4 linked regions of the Rattus norvegicus genome follow. Each later gene encodes a partner of the first gene's protein in a complex. Links are inferred from orthologs where the notes say so. Each region holds a gene or a part of one and is shown in the gene's direction. Other genes may lie near its edges. The genes, in order: Slc3a2, Slc7a10, Slc7a11 and Slc7a8.

What was found.
Region 2: the proteins of Slc3a2 (region 1) and Slc7a10 are in contact, whole or in part, in a cryo-EM structure (PDB 8WNT), measured with the Homo sapiens proteins. The link is inferred for Rattus norvegicus from reciprocal best matches to the Homo sapiens genes SLC3A2 and SLC7A10. Residues at the interface, in NP_002385.3 of Homo sapiens: Phe161, Thr162, Gly163, Leu164, Lys166, Leu169, Leu170, Val172, Ala173, Trp178, Arg182, Leu186, Phe189, Trp190, Trp193, Met196, Leu197, Ala200, Ile203, Ile204, Ala207, Pro208, Arg209, Cys210, Arg211, Glu212, Leu213, Arg534; in NP_062823.1 of Homo sapiens: Leu147, Val150, Phe151, Asn153, Cys154, Pro157, Ala160, Val163, Leu164, Met166, Ala167, Met170, Leu171, Trp174, Ser352, Val359, Glu481, Thr484, His485, Trp486, Gln488, Glu489, Leu490, Phe492, Val493, Val494, Tyr495, Gln497.
Region 3: the proteins of Slc3a2 (region 1) and Slc7a11 are in contact, whole or in part, in a cryo-EM structure (PDB 7P9V), measured with the Homo sapiens proteins. The link is inferred for Rattus norvegicus from reciprocal best matches to the Homo sapiens genes SLC3A2 and SLC7A11. Residues at the interface, in NP_002385.3 of Homo sapiens: Glu167, Leu170, Ala173, Trp178, Thr181, Arg182, Phe189, Trp190, Trp193, Met196, Leu197, Gly199, Ala200, Ile203, Ile204, Ala207, Arg209, Cys210, Glu212, Leu213, Lys299, Arg534, Gln559; in NP_055146.1 of Homo sapiens: Leu151, Phe154, Phe155, Ile156, Gln157, Cys158, Glu159, Pro161, Leu163, Ala164, Leu167, Ile168, Ala170, Val171, Thr174, Val175, Val178, Gln217, Gln219, Val360, His373, Thr487, Gln489, Ile490, Ile491, Glu493, Val494, Val495.
Region 4: the proteins of Slc3a2 (region 1) and Slc7a8 are in contact, whole or in part, in a cryo-EM structure (PDB 7CMI), measured with the Homo sapiens proteins. The link is inferred for Rattus norvegicus from reciprocal best matches to the Homo sapiens genes SLC3A2 and SLC7A8. Residues at the interface, in NP_002385.3 of Homo sapiens: Thr162, Gly163, Leu164, Ser165, Lys166, Glu167, Leu170, Ala173, Gly174, Trp178, Arg182, Leu185, Phe189, Trp190, Trp193, Met196, Leu197, Gly199, Ala200, Ile203, Ile204, Ala207, Arg209, Cys210, Arg211, Leu213, Lys532, Arg534, Asp558, Gln559; in NP_036376.2 of Homo sapiens: Leu147, Leu150, Phe151, Pro152, Thr153, Cys154, Phe155, Pro157, Ser159, Gly160, Leu163, Leu164, Ala166, Ile167, Leu170, Leu171, Trp174, Gln294, Ser352, Met356, Val359, Glu481, Thr484, Leu485, Gln488, Lys489, Met490, Cys491, Val492, Val493.

The regions. Positions count from the first base shown.
Region 1 is NC_086019.1:215,036,161-215,041,336, reverse strand, and holds the start of Slc3a2 (amino acid transporter heavy chain SLC3A2), read left to right. Parts: upstream 1-1,666; 5' UTR 1,667-1,766; coding exon of another isoform or gene 1,767-1,771; coding exon 1,772-2,177; intron 2,178-2,626; coding exon 2,627-2,800; intron 2,801-3,628; coding exon 3,629-3,723; intron 3,724-5,176. UniProt on the Homo sapiens protein: Acts as a chaperone that facilitates biogenesis and trafficking of functional transporters heterodimers to the plasma membrane.
Region 2 is NC_086019.1:96,964,640-96,969,598, forward strand, and holds the start of Slc7a10 (asc-type amino acid transporter 1), read left to right. Parts: upstream 1-1,482; 5' UTR 1,483-1,535; coding exon 1,536-1,704; intron 1,705-4,959. UniProt on the Homo sapiens protein: Associates with SLC3A2/4F2hc to form a functional heterodimeric complex that translocates small neutral L- and D-amino acids across the plasma membrane. Preferentially mediates exchange transport, but can also operate via facilitated diffusion.
Region 3 is NC_086020.1:136,661,547-136,666,027, reverse strand, and holds part of Slc7a11 (cystine/glutamate transporter), read left to right. Parts: intron 1-2,176; coding exon 2,177-2,303; intron 2,304-4,481. UniProt on the Homo sapiens protein: Heterodimer with SLC3A2, that functions as an antiporter by mediating the exchange of extracellular anionic L-cystine and intracellular L-glutamate across the cellular plasma membrane.
Region 4 is NC_086033.1:32,209,548-32,214,558, reverse strand, and holds the start of Slc7a8 (large neutral amino acids transporter small subunit 2), read left to right. Parts: upstream 1-1,843; 5' UTR 1,844-2,443; coding exon 2,444-2,597; intron 2,598-5,011. UniProt on the Homo sapiens protein: Associates with SLC3A2 to form a functional heterodimeric complex that translocates small and large neutral amino acids with broad specificity and a stoichiometry of 1:1.

The DNA.
Region 1 (5,176 bases):
ACAGCAGTGGTCAGGAAGGTGGGCTTGGTGGAGACTGCCGGGAGATCTCTAAGATGCTTAGGGATAGATCTCTGCCACTTACATGTGGGGGCTGGGAGATACCATGCTACCTTAAATTTTATTTATTTTGTGGAGGGCAGTGAGCATGTGTGGAGGTCAGAAGAGAGCTTTTGGGAGTCAGTTCTCTTCATTGAGGAGTGAACTCAGGCTGTCAGTCTTGGTGGGTAAGCAACTTTACCAGATGAACATTTTGTTGGTTTGATCCAATAAGCCATCTGGTTTCTAGGGTGCGTTTCATTGAACCCTCTCAAAGACTGCTTCTGCTTCACAGTCCACAAACCTTGAGCTTTCTGGCTGGGTAGAAAGTCCATCTTGGACTTTTCTTATCTGGCATGCCCAGGGCAAGGTAGGACTCTTATCAACTGTGAACACTGGCATGACCCTTAACCTCTACTGACTTTGCTCTTCCTAGGAGCTGGCATGTACCCTTTTCTCTAGTGAGGCTAGGGAGGATCTTTGGGAATTCCAAAGGACAGTGGCAGGTGATGAGACTTTTCATATCCCTTCCTCTCTACTGTTCAGACCTTGGCGTCTGCTTTCTTCCAAATACATAGCAACCTTGGCTGCTGGCCTAGGTGGGGAGAGGGAGAAAGGACCCGTTGTTTTCTTCTGCTTCTCTCTGAAAATAACCAAATTGGCTGTGGTAAGGAACACGAAGTTCCTGAGATTGTTGGCATCACCAAGAGTTGCTGTCCACTGGTCCCTGCTGCGAGCCCAGTCTGCCCCATTTACCCTCCTGGCCAAGGGCCTCTGTGGGTGGGAATTGGAGAATCTTTCAAAGTGTGAGGGATCTAAGCTGCCTCCAGGGCCTAGCATAGTCAACTGATGTAGCCCGGCACACCAGAGGGTTTGAGAGTTACTGCAAGGTGGCTAAGAGTCACAACAGCTTGTATATTAAAAGGGTAGATGCCTCATTACCTTTGGAATGTTTATTACAGCCCCATTAGTCTCTTCTGGATGCCTGACTCCCAGTAATCCAACATTCTCACTAGTAACTAGGGTAGGATGAGAAGGGTAGTGTCCACTTCAACTCTGCAGTTGAATTTTAAAATCAAGAAGAAAGGATTAGAGTTGATTCTATGCAATTTATGAAGGAAAGGATTAAAGTGGGTGCCCAGTAAATAGTTGCTGCCTGAGGAATTAAACTCAAGGAGTCTTAAAGGTGAGTTCGGGTAAGCCTCAAGGGGAGTCCTGGAGCTCAGCTAAGTCCAGAGTCTGAGGAGGTGTGGGTAAAGCAGAAGTGGGAATGTAGTGCCAAGATCTGTGTGAAGTTGGGGAGATCAGATGTTAGCCTGAGCCCGGCCTGGGGCGAAGGGATGATGACGCAGATGGAGGCTGGTGTCATCTTGCAGAGAGAATAGAGGCTTCCTCCGGGAAAGGGCCCGGAGGAGGGCTTTGGGACCTGGTCAGGACACACTCACGTTTGTTATTCTAAGGGTTACTGGCTACAAGGTCAGCTTCCCAGACTCTGGCTGCATTAAGCGTTAGGGATAGACTGGCTCACGTAGCGAGGCTGGAGGTGTGAAAGACTTCTCTGCATCTCTTTAAGAGGCGGATCGGGGCGGAGTCATGGGTCACTTCCCCGCCGCCACGCCCGCCTGGCGGCAGAAGCAGTTAGGGAAGCTAAGCTAACTAGCCTCACGGGACACCTCTCCAAACTAGGCGACCCACTGACTACAGGCCGTGTCCTGTCACCGTTTCTGCAGGTACCATGAGCCAGGACACCGAAGTGGACATGAAAGATGTGGAGCTGAACGAGCTGGAACCGGAGAAGCAGCCTATGAATGCAGCGGACGGGGCGGCAGCCGGGGAGAAGAACGGTCTGGTGAAGATTAAGGTGGCCGAAGACGAGGCGGAAGCCGGGGTCAAGTTCACAGGCTTATCCAAGGAGGAGCTATTGAAGGTAGCTGGCAGCCCGGGCTGGGTGCGCACCCGCTGGGCGCTGCTGCTGCTCTTCTGGCTCGGTTGGCTGGGTATGCTGGCGGGCGCCGTGGTTATCATCGTTCGGGCGCCACGCTGCCGTGAGCTGCCGGTACAGAGATGGTGGCACAAGGGCGCCCTCTACCGCATCGGCGACCTTCAGGCCTTCGTAGGCCCGGAAGCGAGAGGCATAGCTGGTGAGTGTGGGGTGCGCGCCCTCACCCTTCGCCCCCATGTACCCCTTGTTTAAGCGGGCATTCTGCTGCTCTCCTCCTCACCATCACTAGGACTCTGATGGTTCTTCACCGAACCCTATTTTCTGGGACGACTCCCTGGCAAACAATCCTCTCCACTCTTTCTTAAAATTAAAAAAAAAAAAATGAAAAAGAAAAAAAAACAAGCCCTGCTAACCCGACCCCTACTTCTTCCTAAGGGTGCCTGACTCAGCACATCCCCTTTCTCCTCCCCCAACCACGCGGCCCCTGAGCCAGTTCAAACCAGTTTCTGGAGTAATGTGTGAGGTGCCTTGCGTCAGCTACTTGGTCTCGTGATCCAGCCCCCTTCAGAGGGAGTTGGCGAAAGTGGTGGAGAGAATGTGGAGGCTTTTCATGCCCTACTTGTTAACCCAACTCTCTCCTCATCATAGGTCTGAAGAACCATCTGGAGTACTTGAGCACCCTGAAGGTGAAGGGCCTAGTTTTGGGCCCAATTCACAAGAACCAGAAGGATGAAGTCAATGAAACCGACTTGAAACAGATTGATCCCGATTTAGGCTCCCAGGAAGATTTTAAAGACCTTCTACAAAGTGCCAAGAAAAAGAGTAGGTCTCAAGGAAGCAGAAAGGGCTTGGCATTCTGGCCAAGAAACAGGATAGGGCTTTTGTCTGCTTTTCTCCTAACTGGCTTTGTTTTTTTAGGGCAGGCACAGGGGAGATATGCTATGATTCACACTAAACAGTGTGGTTCATTTGTGAGAGTAATTCTTATTTATTTTGGTTTTGAGGCAGGGTCTTACCTTGTAACTGATTGGTTGGCCTGTACCTTACTTACTACCATGACCAGGTTGGATGAGAGTTTACAGGGCTCCACTGGTCCCAAGTGCTAGGCTTAAGTGTGTCACCATGGCTTGATCAAATAAGTGGCTTTTAAATTTCTAAAGTAGTTCCTATATGTGTAAGAGATTCAAATACTGCTTTAACCCAATATAGAGGGCTGAAAGTGTAGCTCAGTTTGTAAGAGTGCTTGCCTAGTGCCCGTGAAGTCCTGAGTTTGAGTCCTCAGTACAGCATAAACAGATGTGGGAGCATGTGCCTATAGTCCTACACTTGGGAAGTAGATGTAGGAGGCTGTTTATCCTCAGGCAGCCAGCCCACATACACAAAACCCTGACTTAAAGGGGGGAAAAACAAGAAAGAAACCAAAACCTCACTATGGAAACATGTTGAAAGACCATACCTTGTTGGGGAGATAACCCCTGGCCCAATAGCACAAAGTTATTTGCTCTACTATAAAAACCTCCGGAGGGGTTTTGTGGGTTTCATTCAGATTTTGTACAAACTATACATAGGTACACTTAGTAACTGTGTGTTGAAGTTCCTTGTTTCCTCTTCTTCCCCTAAAGAATTTCTCTCACCTGGTTATTTTCCTAGGCATTCACATCATTTTGGACCTCACTCCCAACTATAAGGGCCAGAATGCATGGTTCCTCCCTCCTCAGGCTGACATTGTAGCCACCAAAATGAAGGTGAGGTTTTATGATTGGTGGCATATAGATGCTGGGGATTTATTGTGTGGATTTATTCATAGCAAGCCGCGTGCACTCAGCGTGGTTCTCTTCTCATAGTCTCTTCCCATAGCCAGAGGGATATTGTTTCTTTTCTGACTGTTCTGTTCTTTGTGTTTCCGTTACTCTGGAAGCAAGGCTGTGCCAGGAAGGGAATTTCTCAGATGTCAGTTTGGAAGTTTAATTTTTCTTTTTGTGATAGGAAGTCTTTTCTTTCTCTGTGGGAATCCTGACCTGACTGGTTTCCCAGTTTTTGTTTGATGTGTTTGGAACGGAGCCCAGTCTGAAATTATAAGTACTAGAGTCTTATTATGTATCTGGGCTTTTTATCTTGCCCCATATTTTATTATTTTTTTAAAGAGTTAACTCCACTATGAATGCTTTGTAAGGTCTGATTTTATGTGTGTGAGTGTTTGCCTGCATATGTGTTTGTGCATCATGTGCATGCCTGGTACCCCAGGAAGCCAGAGAGGGTGTTGGGTCCCTTGGAGCTGAAGTTACAGACAGTTGTGAGCTGCTATGTAGGTGCTGGGAACTGAACCTGGGTCCTATGTAAAAGTTGCAAGTTTTTAACTCTGCAAAAGCTCTTAACCACTAAGCTCTCTCTCTCGCCCCTGTTCCAAGTATTTTATAGCTATTTCCAAATTTGTTTTGTAAACCCACAAAATACCTGTCATTGCCAGTCTGTTTGTGAAGAAACTGAGATGCAGTCACTTCATGAAGTCTCAAGGAGTCTTCTCTGCTCTTCCTTTCTCTTGAGGTAGTGGCTTAAACTTCATAGCCACCATAATAGGGTAAACCTGATGTCATCCTAGCCTCTGGTACCTACGTTTTAGGACACTGGCAGGTCCAGGATGGACATAACAAAGTAGAGGCAGATGCTGACCCTTTTGGATTCTTAAGTATGTGGGTGAGACGCTCTTGCTAGTTGCTGGGAGATTTGTGTTCTAGAAGTAGTAAGTTGCTGAGGATAACCTTAAACTCCCAGGTGCTGGGATCCTATGCTTGATAGGAAGTTTGTTCAAAGTAGTAGAGAAAGCCCATAGTCCTAGCACTTGAGAGTTGGAGGAGGCAGGAGGATGAGAAGTTAAAGGACAGCCTGTTACGTAGTGAGTTGGAGACTGGTCTGAAGTCAGAAAGAAAAGTTACTTGTGTTATTTTTAGGTGGTAGCCTCAGGTGAAGTTGGGAGAGCATGTGAGACAGGAAGAAAGGGGGTTTGGGGCAGGGTTCTGTGCTTAGTGCCAGTTGAAGTCAGGGCTTTAACCTTCAGGCCTGGGCCTGTTTTACATAGCTGGCCTCTTTTCAGGTGTCTCAACAGCCCTCAGGCTGTGTTTTGAATTTCAAACTTTTCATTCTTGGCCTTGCTCCCACCAGCTCTTGTGGGAGAACATGCTCTCCAAACCTCAGGAAACA
Region 2 (4,959 bases), about 120 Mb from region 1:
GCTCTTCTCCAGCCTACCCCCACCCTACCCGACCCTACCCCGACCCTGCACTGCACGAGAGGTTCCTTTAAGAGAGCCCTGCCACGTTCAACTTATCGTCTCTGGGGCGGGAGGCAGAGGTCGCCAAGAATGTTGGGCTCCGTCGGTAGTGCGAAGGATGAAGCTCTGCCGGGTGGCTTCCCCCTCCTGGTCCCCCCAGAGTTCTCCCTTTTCTATTATCAAGTCCCCGCCCCAACTTCGAAGTAGAGCTGGGCCCTGGCCAAGATCCCACCTCCGTGCTCCGCCCCCAACCCAGGCTTTTGGACTCCTGAGCTAGTCCCATCTCGGGTCCGCCCTACCCTTCCCCAGCAAACTCTGAGGCCGCGATCGGGGGAAGGACTGGTGGCCCCGAGTGGCCTCATCCTCATGCAGGGGACGGCGCGACGCAGCGATCGCCAGCAGCACACAAAAGCTGTTCCGCCGTCTGCCACACCGTGCCAGCCTCGCTCCGCCCGCCGCCCCGGTGGCCTCGACGCGGCCCTTCCCCCTCCCGGAGCCCCGCTTGAATCTGCCCCGCGATCTGGGCTGCACCTCCCGATGGCTTCCGGGAGGAGGCAGGCTCCCCTGGATCCTGGGCCCGATACCTCTTTGCTACCACTATTGTCCTCTTCACGTCTCCTTGGCACTTCCAGTGGTCTGGTCACCTTGAGCCATGCAGTATGGCCTGGGCCAAAGTCCCAGTCCACTGTTCCCTGACTCCGACCTGTGTAGAGGAGTCTGCGGTGGGGACCTAAAGCTGGACCCGAATGCTGGGGGATGCTAAGGATTTGATGGTGATGGGGACTGTCCCCAAACTCCCGGGATGCCCCGGGACCTTCTGAGTGACCACTGGGTTCTCTGTATCTTCAACTCTTCGCAAACCTTTGACCTCCAGAATTGTTCCAGGGACAGTCTCCATTCATCCTAAATGCCTACGCAGTCAGGACCACCTAGAGGCCAGGGAGCTATCAAAAAAGTTTGCACGGAGAACCTGCCACTGTCAGGTTAATTGCCTCTGGGCCGTGATTTTCAACCTGTGCAATGCCCACCCTTCACCAATGGGGTTTGAGGGATTTAAAAAGTACATGCTGGGGCATGCAGCACCGCCTACCCCAGCACGCCTTGGTCACACTCCTTGAGGGTAGGGTCAGCCTGGTCTTTGAGCTCTTCTCCCCCACCTCACCCAAGTCTGGGTGTAGCCCCTTCGTTCACTCAACTAGGAAGTCCTTCCTAAGTCTGATCCCAGTCCCCTCCTCCATCCCCAGGCTAGGGTTGAGGAGGGGAGGGGGAGTTCCCTTTAAGGGAGGTGGGGGAGGGGGCTGCCGGCCGGCCCTCCTTCCGTCCCTCCCTGGATCCAGCCGCCCGGGGGCCCCCGGGGGCCCGGGCCCCGTGCCAGCGCATGCGCCCGCCTGTGGGCGCTGTCCCGGGCTGCGAGGGCCGCGAGCGCACCGACAGACGAACCGACCGACGGAGGACTGGCGGCGGGCCGGATAGACGGGGTAGCGCAGAGAGCTGGGATGAGGCGGGACAGCGACATGACAGGCCATATACAGCAGCCAGGCGGGCGCGGGAACCCCAGCCCTGCGCCCTCGCCCTCCCCGGGCCCTGGTCCTGGCCCGGGCGCCTCGGAGCGGGTGGCACTCAAGAAAGAGATCGGGCTGGTGAGCGCCTGCACCATCATCATCGGTGAGTGGGGCATACCTAGGGTGGAAGGACTGGGGGAGCCCCTTTATGTTCCTCCCTCACTAAGACCATAAGACCACAGGGGCAAAGGAACCTTCCGAGCACCTGCTGCCACAACTGGAGAATACACTTGACCCTACTCAGAACAGGACCTGGCAGACCAGGCACAAAACCTCTTGCCCTCACCTCCCCAGCCTCTCGGAAAAATTGTTCCTGGAAAAGGGGGGCGAGTGTTCTCCTTGCTGCGACCCTCCCCTGGCCTTCACTGGCTGTGGGACTTTGTCAAGGCGATTCCCTGATTCCCGGGTTCCCACCTAGGAAAACGGAAGTAATTGCTAGGCCTGCCTTGAGTGGCGAGTTCTGGGCTGCAGGGCAGCCTGTCTGCATCCCTACTGTGTGCCAGGTTCAAGTGCCGGGGAAGTGAGGCCATCTGTTCTTGGAAAGCAGGAAGGTAAATGGTAAATGGTCAGGTAGAGCCATTGGTTTACCAATGGGAAAAGGCCTAGGAGTTGTCCTTCCTGGCCGAGGTGGCCACAGAAGCCAAGAAGAGATAGGGAAGTAGCCAATGATGGTGTAGCTATGAGTAGACCAAACCTCCAGGAGAGTACCCACTCAGCCCTGGGATCCGAGTGGGCACTGTCGTGGTCTGGTGGCATCTGAGTGGGTGCTCTTGTGGACTGGCCCTCTCACTCTCCCTACAGTGGTGCTTTCTGGATATGCAGAACCCCCGGGGACAAGGTTGGTGGTGGCAGAACCCCTCCTCTTTTTGTCCCTTGACTCCTGAAGGAGAACTGGACTAAGCTCTCGGAGGGACCTTTACTGTGTCCAGGAATTGGGGTGTCTAAAAGGTCACTAGTTGGGGTTTTGACTTTCCCTCTTCCCCAGCCAGTGGGAAGTGGCACACAGTAGGGATGCAGACAAGGCTGCAGCCAAATCACTGTCTTTCTGTTCTTTGACCCCTGGAGACAGAGAAAAGCTGGAGGACTCAGTGCAGGGTGTGTGTGTATATGTGTATGTGTGTGTGTGTGTGTGTGTGTGTGTGTGTGTGTGTGTGTGTGTCTTCACTTTTCTCCCGCTTTAGGCCTTTCCATGAGAAACTCCACCCAGAGAGATGTAGTGTCTTTTGGGTATCCCCTGCACTCCTACCCAGAGTCACCCCTGAACCCAGCTCCAGAGAGTTCCACTACCTGCCCTCTTCCTTCTAGAATGGCTATCTTTTAGGGGCTGGTCCTGGTGTCCCCCCCAGCATCCCCGAGTGTCTGATAACAGGAAGGACTGAGCCTGGGAGCTAGGACAGAGTAGTGGTTAGAACTTTGCCTCCAATCAACACAATTTTCATGGTACTGTACCCCTCCTCCCAAAAAAAGTAAAAACTATTTATCATTGGTGGTGGGCTGGCTACAGTGCCAGAGGGGTGGGGTGGGGTGGGGCGGGAGGGAGGGAGAGAGAGAGAGAGAGAGAGAGAGAGAGAGAAACAGAGAGACAGAGAGACAGAGAGACAGAGGGGGAGAGAGACAGAGACAGAGATACAGAGACAGAGAGACAGACTAGCATCCATGCACTGCACCCTACCCTGTTACTGTCTTTTCTCCTCAAGTAAGACAGAGGCTGCCAGGGTTCCAGTCATCTACAAGAGGATGGGAGTGCTGGTGTAGGGGAGAAATGGGCACCCGGTCCAATATTTTGCTTCTTCTCTAGCTCAGGCTTTGGAGGAACTGGTGCCATGGATCCTGGCTCTGGGCCGCCAGCTCCCCTCACATCTCAGCCTATTCTTGCTTCACTGCTCCCCTTTGGCCTCCTGAAGATGAAGGCTAAGGAGGGTGAAAATCAACTGGGCCAATCAAGGATGGTGGATTCAGGAACAGAATTCAAGCATTATCCCAGACCAGGGTACCGGGTGCTCTCCCGGGGACCACACTTAGGGAGCTCAAGAGTTCCGTCGGCCAAGACACCAGGCCAGGCAGGGGACAAAGCCAGACAGGGGAGGATTGTCCTCAACTAGGTGACTGGGGAGGAGGCCAGATCTGTTCTGCTTCCCCTCCTGATGCCTCAAGGGCTCAGCTTCCACCCATGCAAAGCTCTGGGGCCACTTCTCCATGGTACAACTCTCAGTCCTGGGTTCTTCACCATCTTCTTCTTCTCCATCCCTAACCCGGGAGCTTGGTCAAAATCAGAAGTCTCCAGTGTCATATTTTAGCATTACAAACCTGGAGAACTTCACATCCTTGTCTGTGAGTGATCTATTATTACTCAATGGGTATTTCCAGAACCTTCCCAAATGGCGCACCTCACCAGCACATCAGATATCTTTTTGGACTTACCTTACCTCCTTTGATCCTCATGCTCACCCTGTGGGGTTGGCAGGTTTTCTACCCATTGCACAGATGGAGAAACTGAGGTTGAGGGTTAAATGACACTGTTTGCAACTGGTGAGCTCAGTGTTTGGATTCAGGTTTCCAGTGGCCTTTGTGCTATGAAGGCTTGGCAAAGGGAAGGCGACAGTTGAGGACTGAGCTAGGATAGACTGAGGTCTCCCTCCACTATGCAGGAACAGAGCCAGGAAAGTCAGCTTTTCTCATGGCGGCACACAAGGGGTCTCTGATCCTGTCTTGGAGACCTCAGCTATCCCCTCACACAATCCACAAGCAAGGAGGGACATGCCCAAGTCTGACAGGCTGAATCATGGTGGCTCTGCTGCTCCCACTCTCTATTTGGGATTCGAGTGTCCAGCAGGTGTTCGAAAGTCAGGCCCAAACGTATGCGGAGACGTGAGGGGGCGACTGCATGAACCCCATCTTTTTAGAGGCCCTTGTCATCCAGCCCTGCCACATTGTCTACCATCTCCATGGCCAGCAGTAAATGGGCCTCTGCAGACATTGTTCCTACACGTCCTGAGGAGTCTTCAGACCCATTGACGAGTAAAATAACTGAGACCCTAAGGCTACAACCTGCCCAAGGTCAGGTGTCCTTAGGGTACTGCAAAACACCACTGAAAGTCAGAGCAACTCCAGCCACTAGGCTGAGAGCATCAGTCCCAGAGACATCCATGAATCCATTCATCGGTACCAGTGTATTGAACATCCAACAGGGGACAAGGCAGGCTGGTCCCTCTGCTGCTGCTGATGCTCCAGTACAGTCAGTCAGCAAACAAAATGAATAGCCAGGCACGTAGCCAGTGGCCAGCATAAGTATTGGCCAGAGAACTGAGGCAGGAAGGAGGGCAGGGTGTGCTGGGGCAGGGTGGAGTCTGATAGGGCT
Region 3 (4,481 bases), on another chromosome or scaffold:
CAAGATATAAGGAGAAAACTCTTCTTTTATTAAAGCTCTAGAACTTAAGGGTCTAGACATTTTCAAGTCAAGAATGTGGTCCTAGATGGTCCCCAACTTAAGATGGTTCAGCATATGATACCTTGTTTTTAACTTTCAGTGGTAGGTGATAGTAACTGTTTATTCAATAAATTACTTGGGATATTTTATCAGTTATAAAATGAAGCTTTGTAGGATGATGTTGTCTAGGTTCAGACAAGTGTGTAGGATGGTGCCTGGGCTGTGTGTGGGACAGACAGTTCCCACTGACTAGTGTTTGGAATGCACCATGTTTTCAAGGGGGCAACTTACCCCTCTGGAAGAGGAGCAGCATCTGCGCTTGGTTTATAACTTTTTGAACACCGAGGTCAACACATGGACTTTTATAGCCCTCTTTGAACTTCTTTTCATCTGGACACATAGTTATGGAGCCTGAGACCTATAAAAGAAATTTCCATTCCCCCAGAACCCAATTTAAACCTAGGGCAAAATATACAGAGGTCTGGGCATTGATTCCCTGACAGTAAATTCCAAGGTCTTTAAGAGTTTTTCCAATAACAAGGTTATATTGGTTGCTTTTCTGGACAACCGACCAACATGGTGACCATTATTTCCAGTGGAAGTTTGCTAGTTGTCTTTAGGTCTAAATTAATGAAGCATTTAAGTAGCTATCTGTAACTTTATCACTTTAGTACCTGGAGCATTGGAAAGCAGTACAACTGCTTGGATTGTTCTTTTGGATGGAGTCCGGTCTCAGAAGATGAGTCTAAGGTGTGGTCTTAGTGTCTTCTCTCATTTGTTCACTCTTAAAACAAATTCTCCAGATGACCCTGATAAAATCATACTCCATTTTCTCTAGTTTTCCAAGTTATATTTGTTTTGAGCATTCTGTAGGAGACACCACTGACCCGCAATACTTTCCAGATGTGGAGTCTCCTCAGGTGCCTGGGCAGAAACTCCGTTTTCTTTGAACACTAAGGGATGTAGACACTGGTGTTTGACTGATTGGTTGATTAATTGATTGACTTTTGGATGAAATTAAGATTTATTTTTCATGTCCTTTTTAATTAACGACGAAGCAGTTGGTAAGTAACATAATATCATGTGGTGTGTTTGTTGTATCAGAGTCAGTCCTATCTATGGTTCACTTTCCCACCTTTACATCCAGAATAAGCATGAAAATTCATGTTTTCACTTCAAAGGGTGTGAAATTTAGGGTTTGGGGGAATTTAGATATAACCTTCCCAATCTTATACAAGTGTTATTTTTAAGCACATCTTAGTTTATAGTTGATTTTCATCACATACATGACTGTAGATTGTGGAATTTCTTTTTTAAAACACTCCTTTTAACTGCCGGGGTGTACATTTCGAAAACATCCGGAATAACTGTTTCTAGGAACAGAATAACCGGGTCAAGATTCGATTCGTTGATAAAGCGTATTGCATCAATTAACTGAAGTCTCACACAACAAGTAGCCTCTTCTTTCCCAAAGAACAGATAAACTATATTTTGATTTTCCACAGAAACATTATTTATTAAATACCGTAGTGAGATCAGTCAGAGTGATCTTGTCTTAGTATGAGATGGTGTTGTTATTCAAATAATAGGTCAGTATCATTGACACCTGTCTTCTCTTTTCCCTCTGCCCTCTGGTTTCTGACCATAGATTCTGAGTCATATTTGTAGGTACCATTTCAAACAAAATTTTCTTTCCTTACATTTTTTTCCAGTTCATTTCATTTGGCTTTTATGTGTATGGGTGTTTTGCTTCTGCGCATGCCTAGTGCCCAAGGAAGCCAGAGTAGGGCCTTGGATCCCCGCGAACTGGAGATACAGATAGTTGTAAGTCCCCACGTAGATGCTGGGAATTGAGTTTGGGACTTCTGGAAGAGAAGTCAGTGCTCTTAACTGAGTAGCCATCCTTCCAAACTTTGGCATTTCTTTCTATTAGTATGAGGCAGGTCTCAAGCGTGAGGAAGTTAAAAGAGGACCTTGGTGGGTCTAAGTTAGGAGATTACGACTATTCCTGTGAAGGCCATTCTGACCAAAGGAAGTAGCCACAGAGTGCATACAACCTAAATGACGTTGTCAGTTCTATCACAAGACTACTAGATGCTGTGTCAACTTTGTACTTTTTTATTATCACCTTTCACAGGAGCCCTGTCTTATGCTGAATTGGGTACGAGCATAAAGAAATCTGGTGGTCATTACACATACATTCTGGAGGTCTTTGGTCCCTTGCTAGCTTTTGTTCGAGTCTGGGTGGAACTGCTGGTAATACGGTAAGGAGACGGAAACAATTAAGGGAAAACAAACCTATTCGTTTCATCACTTTTCCGGATCATCTTGACTGCTTTAACTAATTACAAATGTGTGTCACGTGACTTTGTTTGAAAAATACAGACCCTAAGGCATAAAAAAGCTTTCTTTAAGCTCCAAATTGTATAGAAATATGTTTTTTTCCAGAAAAGGCATTCATCTGAGATGGGGGGAATCTTCAAAATTCACTTTGATAAACTACACGTTGGATTGACCAGACACGATTTAATATGCTAGGGGTTAGTGGTTTTTTTCTTTTTACTGTTGATTATGTCATCAGGACATTTAACTTTACTTTTGTGACTAAGAACTATCTGTGCCAAACAACTTAGTGTATTATCAAGTCTTATGCTTTACAAACAGTAAGAAAAATCAAGTTAACACAGCATGAGTGATTCATTTCCTCACATTAAACAAACCAGCGATGTGCAGTGGCAGAAGTTGTTTGATTGTACTGCCGTAAGGCTCTGTCCCCCTTCCTGATTCTCTTGGCACAGAATAGCGCCAAGTCACTCTGAATAGCAAATTTCCCTCAATATTGTGAGGAGCCTGTGTTGTCGCATGTGCAGCTCGTGTCACAGGTGTTTTGTGCTTTAAGGGATATGACTTACACTTTGTGATTAAAGAGTTCATTAGAAACCATTAGGGAACCTTGCTCTCCTGTAAACAAAGGGCGCAGAGTACTAAAATCCCAGCTAAGTTTTCATTCTGCCACTAACAGAAGTGACAAAGGAAGAGCTCTAAGTGTCTGCTAACGGGAACAATTGTAATGGTGTTAATAGCAGACTTCAGAGTAGTGCACACTTCATTGGGAACAACAGTTCTTTGTTGCTTAGTAATTGCTAGTGTTAAATGATGATAAAAAGCACATTTTTTTCTTTTTGCTTTCCTAAGATTTCTCTATCTGAGATGTACTTCTCTCTGTCATCGTAATCATATGTACTCTTCAAAGCTAATTTTTGTATGTATATATGACATATACATACACACACATATATAATATATATATATATATATATATATATATATATATATAAATTTCTGGTTTATCCCTAGTTTGTAGTATTTCTTTCATCTCTTAATGTCTTAAGACCTTAAGCGACCCATTACTATTTTCCTATTATAATTATAAGCATTTCAAGGATGTAAGATGTAAGAATAGGTCTTACACCTTTTATGACTTTCAAACTATTTATGTCAGTGCCATGTGTATCCTAGATAGTAATCCTTTCTTATACAAGTGTCTGGAAACCCAAGATGATGTTGTTTTGAATGTAACAGGCACAGCATTGAAATAAGAACAGTAAGTCAGTGGAGTGCTGCCCTGTCAGCTGTTGAGCTTCCCAGCCTGATGTCCTTCAACTTCACTGCATCTGCATCCATGCAGTTGTGACGTAACTGTATGTAATTATTCAGTGTTGCTATGACAGCATGATCACTCCATTTGCAATGGACAGATAAGAAACCCATTCGTTAATTTATCGTTTCCACAAATTGCCGATGAATGGCAGACAGCAAGATAAAGAGATCTAAATTGGAGTGAGCCACAATTCATGCTTCTTAACTGCTGATAACCAGATGCACCTTAATTTTGAAAGAACTGTTCTAGCTGTGTGTGTGTGTGTGTGTGTGTGTGTGTGTGTGTGTGTAAGCATGAGTGCGTGCATGTGCACAGCCAAGTTACCTAAGTAGATCTTCGAAGCTTTTTAATACATCTATGTTCCCTAGGATAGTCTTTCAAACAAGCAAAGTAGCAAATACCATGAAGGACATGACACCCTAGGACATAAATCCATTTCTTTTCATGATAGTAACCATGATATCTAAATGCTCCCCATTAAAATTATACTTTCAAATTAAGTTGGTATTGTCAGAAATAATCCAAGCAAAGTCACCCAATAGAACAAGATGGGGACTTTGAAGTTGAGGTCATGTAGTCACATGATATTTGACCACTATTGAGTTTCTACTGTAACAGATGCTGGGCTTATCCTTGCACTGGGGTAAAATTCCAATTGGGAGGAACACAGTTTTTTTTCCACAGATTTCAAAGTCAAGCGGGATGGGGTTTCAATCTGGGGATCACCTTAACTAGAATAAAAACCCTACTGTGGTAAACAGTGTGTAGGGGACAGGTTTGG
Region 4 (5,011 bases), on another chromosome or scaffold:
CAAGCGCCTCATAATCTCCAGGTACTAAAGAGAGGGAAATACAGATTTTAACAAGCCCCCCTTTCCCCTTTGGTGCCACACTGTACCCCCCAAATCTGTTTGGTTCAAGATTTATAAAACTTGTAATTTTCTTTATTTTCCAACTTCGCAGATCGGGAGTGGGGCCGGCACTTCCACATTGCTCCGCGTCACTCCTTTCTGGAGAGATCTCAAATCCATCGAACATTCATATCAACCTGCACCGTTCAAACGGAAACTACAAAATATCACTGAAAGAACTCACATGTGAGGAGCAGAGCCGTTTTACTCCCTTGATGTTGCGATCTGAGCAGAAGTCTTCACATTGGGTTGCTTAATAATGAATGAATCCATCAAGTTTCCCCTTGTGTTCCCTAAGCTTGGGAGGAGAAGCTCACACTTCTCCATGCTTCCCCGACTCATCCCTCACTTTCTCCCATGGAGTTTTGTGCTATATACTCCAACCTTGTCTGGTCATTGTTGAAAATGATTTACACGCTCCCCCCACTTTCTTCTTTTTGCTGAGGCCTTCAATCTGCTATATCTTAAACCAACAGAAGGAGAAGGGGTGAGATCTCAACCTTTGAAACCTCTCCATACTTGCTGAGTAGGGTGATCAAGGGGCAGACGGGGAAGGGAGACTGTTGGCTGGACTTTACCCTCTCTGGGAGAGCTGTTCCAGATAGCTTAGCCAACCCCACTTCCAAAGGGGTCCAACGTATTATTTTCTTGAAAGATCTAACGGGTTTAGAGCATTTTCCAAAAAAAGCGAAACCGATTTTGTGTAGTTAGTGGTCAGGAATTGCGTTTGTCTCATTTAGACAGAATCTCACTTTGTAGCCCAGGCTAGCCTTAAACTCAGAGAGCTCTGCCTGCCTCTGCATCCCAAGTGCTCAGATGAAAGATGTGTGCCACTAGGCCCTTTGGAATTTTATTTTTTAGACTTATTTTTAAATCAAATCACTTTGTACAGTATGTGAAAAAAAAACCTAGTTTTTCAGCATGGTATATAATATTGTTTCATGGTTTGTTTTTTTTTTTTTCCCCAAAGTACTTTACAGTTAGAAGTAGACACGGTTCATGAGGTGAAGCAACAGTCTTGAATCAAGTTCTTCAGGGAAGTGGGCGTGCAATGCCAATAAACTTAACAGTTACCATTCTTAGCATCAACAAATCTGCTTCCTGATCAGTGAAGGGCTCACAGTCCCGAAGTTCAAAGATTTTGTGATAAAATATTAGGGGTCATGGGTCAGGTCAGAATCCTCCTTACTCTGCTTCAGACGAATGTTGCAACTACCCCATATTCTTAATAATTTTATTTAACTTTCTTGTCAGTCCCTAAGAGAAACTCTTCAGCCTAACTAAAAAGTCCTTCCACATTGTCCCCTACCAAAACCTTCTCCTACTTCAGGAAACAGCTTGATGACGATATCCCGGCAGCTTTCTCGACCTTGTCCTCAAATGATCCACACCTAAACATTTTAGTACACTGGTCAGTGTATTTCTGAAGGCATCAAAAGCCTGCAGAACTGTGTGCCCTTACAGAGCACACAAATGCTGTGCGACCTGAGATGCAGCCTTGGCTTGTGTCTTCCCCCTGCGGCCGACCCTTCCCTTGTTTCCACTAAGAAAACAAGAAAGAAAGAAAGAAATGTTTTAAGGCCTTTTCTCCGTGATCTTTGGGGGTAGAGGGTACTAATAATTAAATAGAAGGGGAGGGAGGAGATGCGGCTGAGGATGGCGAGGAACGGAGGAGGTGGGGGCGGAGCCTCGGTCCGCAAATAAACGCCGCAGCCGAAAGGGAAGCACATTCGCGAGCGCAGCAGCCACCCTGCCCTCACAGATGGAACGATCTGCGGCGTGAGCACGGAGCTCGGAGCGGACAAGGGCGAGAAGGGGCGACCGCAGCAGGTGGAAACCTGATCGCGAGCCGGCGAGCGAGAAGAAAGTACCTGAGCACCGCTCCTCCTCCGCCCTCTCGGCTAACGAGAACTACTTTTACCCTCGTGGTAAAAGAGACTTAAGGGAAGGTGGAGGCGATCTGTTTCGTTAGGAGGGCTGCAGGGAAATTCTGACCAGAGCAAGCCGCCGCCCGGTACACCGAGCAGAGCCATCCTGGGCTTCTGAAGATAAACGCTTTCCGGAGAATTCCAGCTGGAGTCGCTGGTACAGTTCTATTTTTGTATTTAGATATATATGTTCTTTGCCTTCCATTTAAAAAGCACGGCCCTTGTTTGTTAGCAGTGACACGTGTGACTCTCGTTTGCTGTCACTTTTAGAGCCTAGGAGCGCTCGCTCTCCGTTTCTGAAAAGGGCGTTCTAATTGGAAACTTGTTTTTCCGCGTATCTCTGCATTTATACGCACGAGCGTTTAGAAAGAGACTGCTCTTTTTAGCTTTTGGTGGTCGGAACCCTACGGAGAAAGATGGAAAAGGGAACCCGACAGCGAAACAACACCGCGAAGAACCACCCGGACCGCGGATCTGACACCAGCCCTGAGGCCGAGGCTAGCTCGGGAGGGGGCGGAGTAGCCCTGAAGAAAGAGATCGGATTGGTCAGCGCCTGTGGTATCATTGTAGGTGAGTCCAGGTCCTTTGCGGGGCCCCCGGCACCACACCACCCCCTCCCCAGGGGTCCTCCGCGGGACTTTAACCCCACCAAAGCCCCTAAAGCAGCTTTGCTTTGTCTCTGACTTGTGTTGTCCACCTGCACCGGCCAAGTCAGAGCTCTGGAAGTGATGTCTGTCAGACATCGCTTCAACCAAGCCAGGCTGAGCCGCTCTCTCCTTAGAATAGAACAAACAGGAGTCAGGAACCATGCTGGCTCTGCGTACCAAGTATTCCCTGGGAATTTATTAGAAGTGTAACAAATTCTTTCCGGGTTGTCACTATGCAGTTCTGATCCGGGAGATCCTAATTCAGGCTGACACATGGATTTTTAACTAGCTTCTATGCAGCCACCCTCTGCAGGCTGCGAACCTGCTTTTGAAGCATATTTTGTTGCCTTATGTTATGAAGCATTGTGGTAATACCACAAAGAGCAAAACAGCAGTAGTAAAAACACTTCGTAATGATGGTTCTTTATAGGCTGGTCCATCCTATGTAGCATTTGTGAAATAGATGTGACAGCCAGGCTGTTCTTACTGTCTGGGATGAGGAAAATATGGAAGGGAGAACCAGCTGACTCGACTATGTTCTCTACACGGAGTTTTCAGTTTCTCTGGTTGCCTGTGTGTGGGGGTGTGTTTTAACACACACAGAAGACCCTGTGAGGTTTGTAGAGGGAACCCGGAGTGAGTGGATTGTGGAGTACAGGAGGAATTCATGGGTGAAATGTGTGCTCTGTCCTGGAAGCTCTCTAGGAGAGGAGCTGGGTGATCCAGAGAGTGCCAGTATAGGTCTTGCTTCCCAAGAGCACTTGTGTAGGGCTCAGGCTTCCAGAGACAACTCTCTCGTCTACAGAGGACACTCTTGTCTTTGTAAAGAAGCCCTGCAGGTGGGCGCTGGGCAGTGGCTCCTCACTACCTTCCCTCAAAAAGGGGGCTTTGGTCTGCTGCCTTCCGCTGAGGGCTTCTTCCCAGGGAAAGCACCACAAGACTCTCAGATGAGTCCCTATGTGCTCTCTCTCCTCTGGAGTTCCTTAGCGAAGGTGTACTGTTTCTTGCTGCCCATAAACTAGTTTCTGTCGATGTAACAGTGTTCTGTGAACAGCTCAGGGACGTTTGGCACCAGAGCCAGAGTGACACTGGAGAACATCCTTGAAGTCAAATAAAATCAGCACAGTGCTCAGATAATCCTCTCCACCTCTGCACCCTGACTTCAGTGGCCATGTTCTTTCCAATCCCCTTCCAGAATGGAAGGTTATCTATATACTCCAAATATTTACAGTTATAAAGAGACAATGTTGTGAGGGAACAAATCCTCAAAACAGGAGTCACGATCTGAAGCTCACATTATCTGGTCTTACTATATTTTTTAATTCAACGCAACCTGTAGAACACATGCCAATTTAAGATCTATAAATAGGCCAGAGTCTGTTATGTCTTTCATTAATTTGATGGATAGGCTTTGTATCCCCCACCCCACCTTGGGGAAGTATCTGACTCATACACATATATGCATACATACACACACATACTCACACACATGCTCTACATACATACATACACACTCACACCAAAAAAAATACACATATACACACACATAACACAAATACCTATATATACACAGACGCACATACTCATACATACACACACATACTCACACACATGCTCTACATACATACATACACACTCACACGTATATACTCATACATTCATACACATACACACTAACATACACACATACTGATACACACTCATACACACATACATACATACACCCTCACACATAACACACATACTTATATATACACATACACACATACTCACACATACACACTCAAACATACACACACACTCACACACACATACTCATACATACATATATACCTACATACACACTCACACATTTATACTCATACATGCATGCACATACACACTAACATACACACACTCAAACCTTTTTTTCCCATGGATGCCCACGCAGCCCACAATATATGTAGATTTTCATGGATAGAAGATATTCTCCTGTTTGTTTTTTTTTTTGTTTGTTTGTTTGTGTTTTTTTTTTTTCGGAGCTGGGGACTGAACGCAGGGTCTTGCGCTTGCTAGGCAAGCACTCTACCACTGAGCTAAATCCCCAACCCCGATATTCTCCTATATACTAAGGCTTTGGTTCTTTCAAAATATATTTATTTCAAGTCTATGAAGACATGGGGATGATCAGGTATAATAAGTACAGGTCCAGGGTCGATGCCACTACTGATCTGTCCACAGCCTCATGGGTGACGAGAGAGAGAAAGAACTCCTCGTGGTGACATCACAGTTCTGGCTGGATACTCTGGGTGATTTTAGGGAAATCAGGATATTTTTCCAGAGTGTTAGAATCATGTT